2 linked regions of the Nothobranchius furzeri genome follow. The protein of the gene in region 2 binds, or shares a complex with, the protein of the main gene of each other region. Links are inferred from orthologs where the notes say so. Each region holds a gene or a part of one and is shown on either strand. Other genes may lie near its edges.

Evidence for each region. Proteins that work in one complex are often made in the same cells at the same time.
Region 1: the proteins of dffb (region 2) and dffa are in contact, whole or in part, in an NMR structure (PDB 1F2R), measured with the Mus musculus proteins. The link is inferred for Nothobranchius furzeri from reciprocal best matches to the Homo sapiens genes DFFB and DFFA. Residues at the interface, in NP_031885.3 of Mus musculus: Cys10, Lys12, Arg14, Ala19, Cys20, Lys21, Phe22, Gly23, Val24, Ala25, Ala26, Arg39; in NP_001020467.1 of Mus musculus: Asp66, Thr68, Ile69, Val70, Asp71, Asp72, Asp74, Tyr75, Trp94, Tyr96, Asp100.

The regions. Positions count from the first base shown.
Region 1 is NC_091755.1:29,727,636-29,732,530, reverse strand, and holds the end of dffa (DNA fragmentation factor subunit alpha), read right to left. Parts: intron 4,595-4,895; coding exon 4,399-4,594; intron 2,676-4,398; coding exon 2,548-2,675; intron 1,630-2,547; coding exon 1,414-1,629; 3' UTR 958-1,413; downstream 1-957. UniProt on the Homo sapiens protein: Inhibitor of the caspase-activated DNase (DFF40).
Region 2 is NC_091755.1:34,775,209-34,780,515, forward strand, and holds dffb (DNA fragmentation factor subunit beta), read right to left. Parts: upstream 3,622-5,307; 5' UTR 3,555-3,621; coding exon 3,432-3,554; intron 2,850-3,431; coding exon 2,723-2,849; intron 2,656-2,722; coding exon 2,470-2,655; intron 2,268-2,469; coding exon 2,188-2,267; intron 1,856-2,187; coding exon 1,682-1,855; intron 1,590-1,681; coding exon 1,489-1,589; intron 1,407-1,488; coding exon 1,157-1,406; 3' UTR 576-1,156; downstream 1-575. Other genes in the region: nphp4 (nephrocystin-4), read left to right, coding at 4,226-4,513, 4,871-5,005. UniProt on the Homo sapiens protein: Nuclease that induces DNA fragmentation and chromatin condensation during apoptosis. Degrades naked DNA and induces apoptotic morphology.

The sequences.
Region 1 (4,895 bases), about 5.0 Mb from region 2:
GATTCAGACCTGTAAAAGCACCAGAGACTATTTTATTACAAAAAAAATGCCTCTTTGATCAGTTGGCATGTGACAGAAACACCTTTTAATCACAATGCCTACCTTCTGAACCAGTTTAACACTACTTTTGTTGGATCTGGGCAGAAATTTGACTTAAAAAAACAAAACTCTGGGTAATCATGCTTACTGGATACAAAATACAAATGGCTAACAAGCCTAACACTGAAAAGCCCATTTTAAAGTTGCACTATGTCGAAATGAAGTAAAAATGACATCCTGTGGTAAAATGTGGTTACTGCAACCACTTTTCGAGCTTTTGATGGATTTTTTCAGAAATCAATGGTAAAAACGACACATTGTCTCTTTAAGACCATCATTTGTGTTGATTTGTTCAAGAGTGTAAGAAAGCTACCTCGTGTGTGAGTCACACGGACCTGCACACATCAGTCTGACATCACACAGCCACCAGACCGATGCATAACTTTTATAATGGGATGTAAGAGATGGTTTTAAAGAGAACTCGTGCAGAAACAGCATTATCCTGCTGTGACTTGTTTTTTTTTTTTGAGTTTTTTCCAAAAGTCCTTATTAGTCACACATCTTCCACCCTGAGGTTTGCATCTGTGAAACATTTGAATGAAAACAGTGCCTCTTTCTAATTGACACTGCAGAAAAATATGTTTATAGCGGTTTAGAAACAGAAAACTGCCAAGAGTTTAAAGTTTACAGGAAATAAGATATTTGAATCTGATTTATATGTTTCACTTTTCCCTAAACTATCCTGAATAATTTAGAGTTTAATATCACATGCAAATTATTCCCAAAAGAAACCAAATCATCTCATTTGCTTGATATCCAAAAATCCCTTTCAGCTACTCTAAGGTATCTTTTTCACCTATTTTCAAACGTTCCACTATAAGACGTTTGCACATCTAAAAATGATTATTAGACCCTGGATACATCACATTTTCAACTTTTATTTTTGAACAGTGACTTGACACACCTAGATAAAAAGAATTGGCTTAAGAAAGATGGAATGCATTTGCTGGAGAACCTGGGCTGCAGTGTTGTTACCTTTGGACCAAGAAAAGCTATGTTTCACACCTTAAGGGACACCGGAACTCTCTGCCTGCTGGTTTAAGTTTTACATAAATTCTTTCTTCTGTAGACGACAAACATCAAATAAAAGCCCGCTGAACACCAATCCAAGTGGTTCAAATCATCTTGCTTGAAATAAATTTCTATAACTTGCCTCGTCTCGAAGCACTCAAAAAGCTTTGCAGCTTTAAAAAAAATATCAACATCTCAAAATGAATGTACAGCAGCAGTAATACACAGCAAATCCCATTCTGCTGACCCTGAGGCAGGTAGTATGAATTCTTATCAGTCTCGGCTCAGGTGAAGCCTCTTGGCCTAGGAGCTCCCTGGAGTTTCAGCAGCCTCCTCTGTGTTTGTTGCATTAGGCTGTCTGCTGCCATCCAGCTGCGTGTTGCTGATGGACTGCATGGCCTGAATCTGCTGCAGGCGTGTGGACAGTTCTGCTTTGCAGGCCTGCAGCAGCACAGTGGTCCTCTCCGAGTCCCAGCCCAGCACCTGCCGCATGACTTCCGGTCCTTTCGACATGACCATCTAAGCAGAAAAATGAGATATTTTTAATCCTGGAAACATGGGACGTGTGAGACTTCATCTGACTCATAAAAGTAGGGGAACATGTTCCAAACTGATGCTAAAACGTTGGAAAATTATAAATCAGAGCTTTGCAGAAGAAGGAGCTTGAAATGTGTCGTGATTTGCAGCGTTAGCTCATATTTACGCGTCGACTTGCTGACATTTTGTTAGGTGGTCTGATATCGAGTGCACAGCTCAGGTGTGAACACACTCCAAACACACAGAACTGATCACTCATACCACATCAGCGTGTGTGCAGAAATGTTCAGGGGCAGCGTTAAGTACGGTTCGCTCGTCTGACATACCGCCTGGTGGATAATAACCTGTTTGAGCTGCAGCGGGTCACTCACTCCTGACCATTAGTCATCTATTTCCCATCATGCTTTTGGTCAAATCTGCAAGTAAAACTAAAAGCATGTACATTGTGTTAAATCACAGGTTGGGCTGCAGCAGCACCAGAAATGACTTGGAGGTAATTGCAGGTAGCGGATGGGTTCCGGTAACGACTTGTGTTTGAGTACATAGAAGAGTGTTGACAGAACCAGACCCAGAAGAGAACTCTGACATTTGGTCTTTGCAAACAGAAATGCTGAAGGATTGATTTAAACATAAAGTGAGGGTGAGGGTGTGAGATCACTTGGGGTGTATTTTAATGGTAACGGTGTGAAGTGATGTACTTCTAGTTGTAAACACGTCAGTTAAGATGCTGTGGGGTGGGAAGAGGGCGAGAACCACAGCGTAAGACTCGCATCAGGACCGACGTAAGACCGTTATGGAATATAGGCCAGTCCTGACAGAAGATTGCTGCTCAGATCTATTAAAATCAGTTTCATCTACTTCTTTATTATTGGTGACGAGGATCGTTGATGAGTGAAACACCTGCAAATCCTCGGTGGAGAGTCTGGTCTCCGGGCTTGTTTTCCCTTTCAGGACCATCAGAGTTCTGGACATGAATCCAGAAACAGAGTCCACTTCCACTCCGTCCGGCACGTCCACGTCGACAGGACCTGACATATTGAAAACAGGTTTTCTCTCAGGGATTAATGATTGTAAATCCGTAAAAGTTGTGGGATTACTGAGCAGCAACAATGATTCCATCTAGTGACCAAAAGGTGCAATTGCAGTTCACTCCAAAAACCAATGAAGCGTGAAATATGTTCAATACGATTCAGCGAATGATCTCACCTAATTAATATTTCATTGAAATGAAAAGTTACATCTTATTCCTTTTTGGATTAATCCATTTATTTAAATTTGAAATATAAATATAACTTTAAGATAAAACAAAAACATTTTTACTCCTAATTTCTGCCTCTACCTGGAGCAGTTTTCTAGCCTAGTGAACTAGACCAAATTCTTGCTTTGCAAAGAATGGTCTAGGCATGCTCCATTGGAACCTCAACAGCTCCTACCAGGACTCTGGCTAGCCAATCACAACTCTCTAGAGGGATTTCAAACACATAAAGAGCTGTGATTGGTCCGTAATCGTGGGCCAATCATAGTGCTCTATCTGCTTAGTGAACAAATCACAGAGCTTTGTCCGCTTTGTGGGCCAATCAGAGCACTCTATATGCCTGGTGGGTGGGATGATGCAACAGAGTGAAACAAGAGTATGTCACATTCTTTGTCCAGTGGAATGCGGAGATCATTTGAAAGACAACGGTAGAACCCGCCCCACAACCGAGAGCCGTCAATGGAGCGTGGCCAGACTAAATAATACATTTATTTAGTCTGGCTTGCCAGGCTAGCAGTTTTCAGCATAAATAGCCCAATTGATGATTGACCAATCAGAAACACACACACACACACACACACACACACACACACACACACACACACACACACACACACACACACACACACACACACACACACACACACGTCTGTCTTTCTATCATAGGGAGGACCCTCCACTGACTTCCATTCATTTTTGTGACTCCACTGTGCCTAACCCATACCCTAACCCTAACCCTGACCAATGCTGATCTACTCCTAACCCCAACCTTAACTAAAACTTAGTTCACACCATAGATCTAAAACCAACTGGTAAGCTTCTAAAAAAAGTGAGGACTCAAAAAAATTGAAAATGTCTTCAAATTGTAGGGAAAATGGTCCTCAGCATGTAGTACACACACATACACACACACACACACACACACACACACACACACACACACACACACACACACACACACACACACACACACACACACACACACACACACACACACACACACACACACACACACACACACACCCTTTTTATTATAGTTTTCTGAAATAAATGGAGATCTGCTACCGCTGCAATTGCTTCAACTCTCAAAACCAAAATCGTTGCATCTCTACAGAAATACATTTTTAAATTTCATATTAATATTACAATCGGTAAATAAAAATGTTTCGAAAGCAGCAAATAACAGTGAACAGTTTTATTATAGAGATTCAACAGCCACATAAGCTTGTGATTCTTTACTGATTCAGTCAGAAAACTAAAAAAAAAAAAAAAAATAAACAAATCCTAGATTAAGTTTCTGTTAAGAAAATGGCTGTATCTAAAATCATTTAAAAAAATAGTTCAATTGTCTTCATTAAAAAAATACACAAGAGTCTTAAAGCAAAGCCAAAGACTGTAAGAACTTTTGTGGATTTGTGGTAAAAAATAGATTTTTACAATAACTATTTTCTAAAGCGTACTACTAAATAAACATGACCACATAATAACAGTCATACCTTGATGGCTCGGCCCTTCCTGCAGCCTGTCTTCCTTCTCCACAGCTTTGACGTACAGCTGGAGCAGAGCTTTGGACTGCCTCTCTTCCTCTTTTCGATCCAAAGTCCTCTGCAGTGTCTCTTGGAGCTCTTCAGCCTTTTTGTCTTGGAAGCCCAAAGCAGAGGCAAGTTGAGAGCAAGGAGCATCCACTAAAGACTGGAAATACAGATTAAACAACACATACATGAAGCAGCTCCCTATAAACACATTTAATTGTGTGAAATGATCATTTATAACCATTTAAACCAGGGGTGTCAAACTCAAACTCACACGGGGCCGAAATGAAACTCTGGGACGGAGTCGAGGGCCAAACTTAATATTTTTTGAAAAAGTGACGTCAAATTTGCACATTTTCTTTATCAACATATATGCAATTTTGAACCTTTAAATTTGGAAACAAACTTATTTCTGCATTAACACTGAATGTAGAATAACCAAATTACACACGAGCAAGTCC
Region 2 (5,307 bases):
ATAATGTGTCTTTCACGTTCGGTTTTGCACATTTAGAATCATAGTTTTCAATTTAATCAAAGGAAAAATATAAATTTTTGTTAATTATGGTTAAAAAAGAATCAAATTATAGTTAAAGATGAATCAGAATCAGCTAAGAATAATGGCAGAAATTGGTATTGGCCTTGTGAAGCAGAGATTTTCAGCTTTCTTCGTGCAATACCAGAACGGATTCATCCCGCTTTGTTTTGTTGCTTCACGGCATGTTGGGAGATAAACGTGACGATAAAAAAAAAACACTTCTGGTTTTTGGATTTGTGCTAGTTTGACAAATGATGTGTCTGAGAAACAAAGGTTCTGATTTTATTTCTAAATTGAGTTCAGGCATTTTGTATTCAGTTGCATGCGTTGATTGCTGTGTCGTATTTCAGGCCACAGATCTCTAATCCTCATTCTTAAAGTTCAGTTTAAGATCCTAAGAAACTAAAATGGTCAAAATGGGTCATTTGTTCCAAATAAGTTAAAAACACACCAAGTGCTTGTTAACGTTTAACTACCTGATTCCAGACGACGTGAATGTGACGAGGAAGCAATGAGAACATCTGTAAAAGAAGCTTTTATTTTGAAAAATCAGATGTTTTGGCCAAACATTGTTCACCAAGTGTCTAAACTCCATCCTCAAAGGTTTTTGGCAGAAACATCTGTAAAAACATCTGTGCAGCTAATTTTCAATGACATGTTTGTTTATAGAGAAAAATATATAAAGTATCAGATAAAAAAGATCGATTTAAAAATCTAGTTTTCGAGTAATCTGTCGCTAACAAACCTGATTAAACCCTGACAAGCTGTCCAGCAGTTGCACTGGTCCAGCCTGTTGTATTTTGTATATAGCTGATTGTTCTGGTGATAACATCTTGTATATAATGTACTGCCTTATTTATAGATACATTGTCAAAAGTATGCAGCTTTGACTGACTGAATGTCTTACTCGTCAAGCAGCCTTCATAATCCGTCCGTATATTCCACGTCTCTGTGCCAGTGTGGGCTAGATATAAATGTATTCCATGATTACAACGTTTAAGTGCTTTTTTACAGAACGCTCTGCTGTTTCACGTGATTTCTGGATGACTTGTTGATTTGATCTGACGGCTTGAACAGATTAAAAACGTGTTCTGGTTTAAATCAAGCGTCTTTTCTTCTCTTTGGGTTTTTGTTTAGCTCTGTCTGCATGGGCAGCGGTCCGATAGATCTTTTTTGTGTCACAGGACAGATTGTGAGCTCCCTTCTTGTGGCAGACGATGTGGACCAGTTTCAGGTTTTCCCTGGTGAACAGCATCAGGTAGAAGTAGTTCAGGTTGATGTCAGAGCTGCTGTGATTCTGCAGAGCTTCCAGCAGACTGGGTATAATTGTCCTCCTCTTCTCAATTCTGAGAAAGCAAACACGCGAGCATCACAGGTTATTGTAAAGAAGAAAAGCATTAAAATGTGGTTTCAGCGGTAAATGTTGACCTGTGGTCAAGGTTCCAAGTGCTGAAGACGATCCTGCTCTCCCGGCTGCCGTAGGGGTTGATGGAGTGGAGCGACTGGCACAGCTTCACGTCAAATGATCCCTGAGGAGACCGAAGAGGAAGGATGAAGATCCATTTCTTTCCCAACAGCATGACGAGTCCTTAATTCAAACGTGACTCTTTGAACTTGTCACCTGGCAGGTGAACCATCCTTCACGAGTGCAGAGGCGCTCCGGCTCCTTTTCGGTCCTATCGAAGTAGCTGCCGTTGTACCTGGCGCTTTTCAGCATCTCCAACAGGCACTTGGATGCTTTTAAAAACTCTGCCTTGACTTTGGCTTTCTGTATGGATCTGGTTGCATCGTCCAGCTAATAAAAAGGCAGAAGGCATGGACGTAATTTTGGGGGGGGGACGGGGGGACATGTCCCCCCGACCTTTTCCAAAATCAAGTTTTGACCCCTGCACCTTTTACCATCCAAAAACAATATTACGCTATATTAAATTGACACTGGTTGAGCTCTTAAGACCAAGCGTAAAACAGCCGTTTGTGTTGAAACCTGTTTACCATTAGAGTATACTGTAAAGATCCCCCCCCCCCCCCGTGCCCCCCCCACTTCTCAAGTGAAAATTACGTCCATGGCAGAAGGTAACACTGAATATCAAACGCACAACAAACGAGGTAAAATCTGCAGAAGTCGACCTCTTTCATGTAGCCCCGTATCCTGCTTTCACAGTTGAACTTCATGTAGGCAGATTTTGTTTTGAATCGAGTGTCAACACCTAAAGAAATGATCAAAAAACAAAGTTCAGCTAAATGTTTAAGTCTCATGTAAATGTTCTGCAAAACCACAGAAAAAGTTACTTTTTTAACAATCGTTTGAGAAATAATCGCATTATTTCACAGCCAGAGTCCACGTATTAACTTAAAACAACAAATAAAAATGTCTAAATGACGATTGTCTCGTAGACCTAATGACTGTACCACTGAACCAGTCTGCATCCTCCTCTCTGCTCTCCAGCTCAGACCTGTCCTCCAGGTTCTGCAGCAGGTCACTCAGGATTTTACGTCTCTTTGAAGAGTTTTCATCAGACAGAAGTCCTTTTGCGGCTTGGATCAGGGCATCAGCATGTCTGTCTGTGTTCAGTAACTGACCGATGTCACACATGACTAGAACAAAAGCAAGAGGGTGATCAGGACACGGCAAAATAAAAATCAGAGGAAAATAATTAAGCACCTCCTGTCCACGTCTGCTGTTTTGACAGAAGAACTAATTCACTGTTATCTGGCAGGGTGGAGAAGAACTCCTCGGTCACTATTGTCCCATCCTCGTATAAACAAACACGAGCACCAGAGAGCGGCAGCTGGAACGGTGGAGAACATAGAAATGGTATTCAACTTAACTGCATGCAACAATTTCCTTAAAATATACTTTTTTCTGCTTTGACCTTATTTACAACCTTCATAATAGTATTTTATGCCCATATGCATCCCTCTGTGTGAAACAGAAGTACTAAAGGACAGGACACAAACCACAGGAGCCATGTTTTCTGGTTCTGTATAGGTATACTAAATTAAAAACGATTAATTTCTGACCCAAAAAGCACAAAAACTCCTTAGTTAATTTCCTTTTGAGATAACTGAGTTTCTAATCTGTAAATAATTTCAATTCTGAGACAAAATAACATAGTTATTATATAAGTCAAAGTTAAGACCTATTTTGGGACGTTTTCATTATTTTCTGCACTTTGCGCTGAGGGTTTCACTTCCTGGTCTGATTCAGAACTGTCTGCAAGCATTAAATTAATTTAAACGAATTAGTGTCTAAATAACCTGCCCATGACCTAATAATAGGGTAAATTGTAACGTGTAACTACCTATTTAAAACGTTACTCTTTTTATTTTTCACGTACTTGCAGAAGCATAAAAGGGAACAAGCGACCCACCTGTAATAAATTGCAGCCCTTTTTAAGCAGCTCCTTTAGATCTTTCGCTGCAATGCCGTATTTCAGGTTTCCACCGAAACCTCTAATTTTCACAGGTTTGTTTTTCCCAGAGACCCCAAACATGATTGTTTATAGTTTGTATATACCGCTTCCGTTGTTGTTTTTTCTTTCTCTTTGGTCCTAACGAGTCAGCGGCGGCGCTTTGCTGTCCTCTAGTGGTGGTTTGTATAAATAAATATGACACAAACCAAATTTTAATAATAATTAGAAAAAACGACTTCTAGAAGTACGTTCTTGCCTTTTGAAACATTCCAGTGAGATTTATAAATTTAGTAACATCACTGAGGATTTTAAAATAAGCGTTTTAGTTCAGATATTAGCCAAATATTTTAATAATTTGATTCATTTGGTTAAAAAAAATCAGGTAATCATCCGAAAGGGCAAAAAATAAAAAATAAAACTATTTGAAAAATATTGACAATAAGTAACATATTTGTGATTTTACGTGCAACACCATCGTGTAGTTTGACTTCCGAATATTACCATAGCAACTGATGCTGCACCCTGGAACATACCAAATCGCAGGTTTAATTAATTCACAACAGCTATTGTACAGATTCTTTAAAACCTTATATCTATGGTTTTACAAATTGTTTGTAAAAAGTACAGAGGCGTATGGATAACTAACGCTACGCACGTTTTCGTTTTCTTGCTAAAGCGTTTACTTAAACCAAAGATTTGTCGGCCCCCCCTCCTAACTGAATCGTACAACCCAAATTCAACATGGCGGTCGAATGGTTGAAAATCCAAATATATGGCAAAAACAACGTACTTTAACTCGTTCTTTCTTGGTTTTTATTATTCCCTTCCTTTTTATTGATTTAGTTTTGTTTTATCTGGAGAATATGGTTGAAACAGAAGACAATTCCAGCACCGAGGACGGCTGGGAAGATGTGTTTATGAGAAACCGGTTTGTTCCCCCGTGCAGCCAGGCAGTCCGACTGGCTGTGGAGAACCACTCCACCACGTCCCGGGGCTTCCAGCTCCGCCTCAACCGCCTGACAACAGCTCATCTCCCGCAGGTTAATCACCGCTCACACAGTAATGGTCCGGTTCATGGTCCGGGTTTCAGCAAACCTCACATACCAAGTTATCCGTTACATAATAAAGCACAAATAAATTCAGTATTTCGTTTTGTTTAAATTTGTTTATGTGAAGGTTTTATAGCTAAGGTGACCCAGTGTTTACATAGCACTTCTATTATGTCAAATTATGAATGCATTCTTTGTTTAGGTGCTTTTGTATTGGTGAGTTTGCCGCTTGAACTAAAATATAAATAAAAGCTGATCATGTTAAGCAAAGTGTTTATGTTTTAAACTCAAATACATGTTTATAGTGGTTAGGGCAACTTTTACCAGATCTTCTCTTTTTGGTCACAGGAAGTGTCGGCGGGAGAAGATGTGACCTTCCAGCTACGGGCGACACTGTTTGATAGGAAGCATCAGCACTTCTTTGGGAAAACATGGAAGAGTTTGCCCCAAAAGATTAAAAACAACAAGATTCCCTTCAACGAGGTAACTTTTCCAAACAGCGCCAAAGTCTTTTCTCTCTCAGGCTCTGAGGCTACAGTTATGAGCTCCTCTGAAGCCGTTGTCGTAAGCAGTGAGTCGATGATTATTTAGTAAAATCAATCCTTATTTAAACCTTGATTAAATTGATTTAGTGGAGCCATTATTTAATCAACCCCTTCTCAAATGACTGATAAATCAGCCCTCAATGAATTAGCACTTAGGACTGGACTGTGTTCTGCGATATTCTCAAGAGTGTTGTCAGCCCAAATTAAACAAAACAAAACCCTGAAGTGATTCCCAACAAG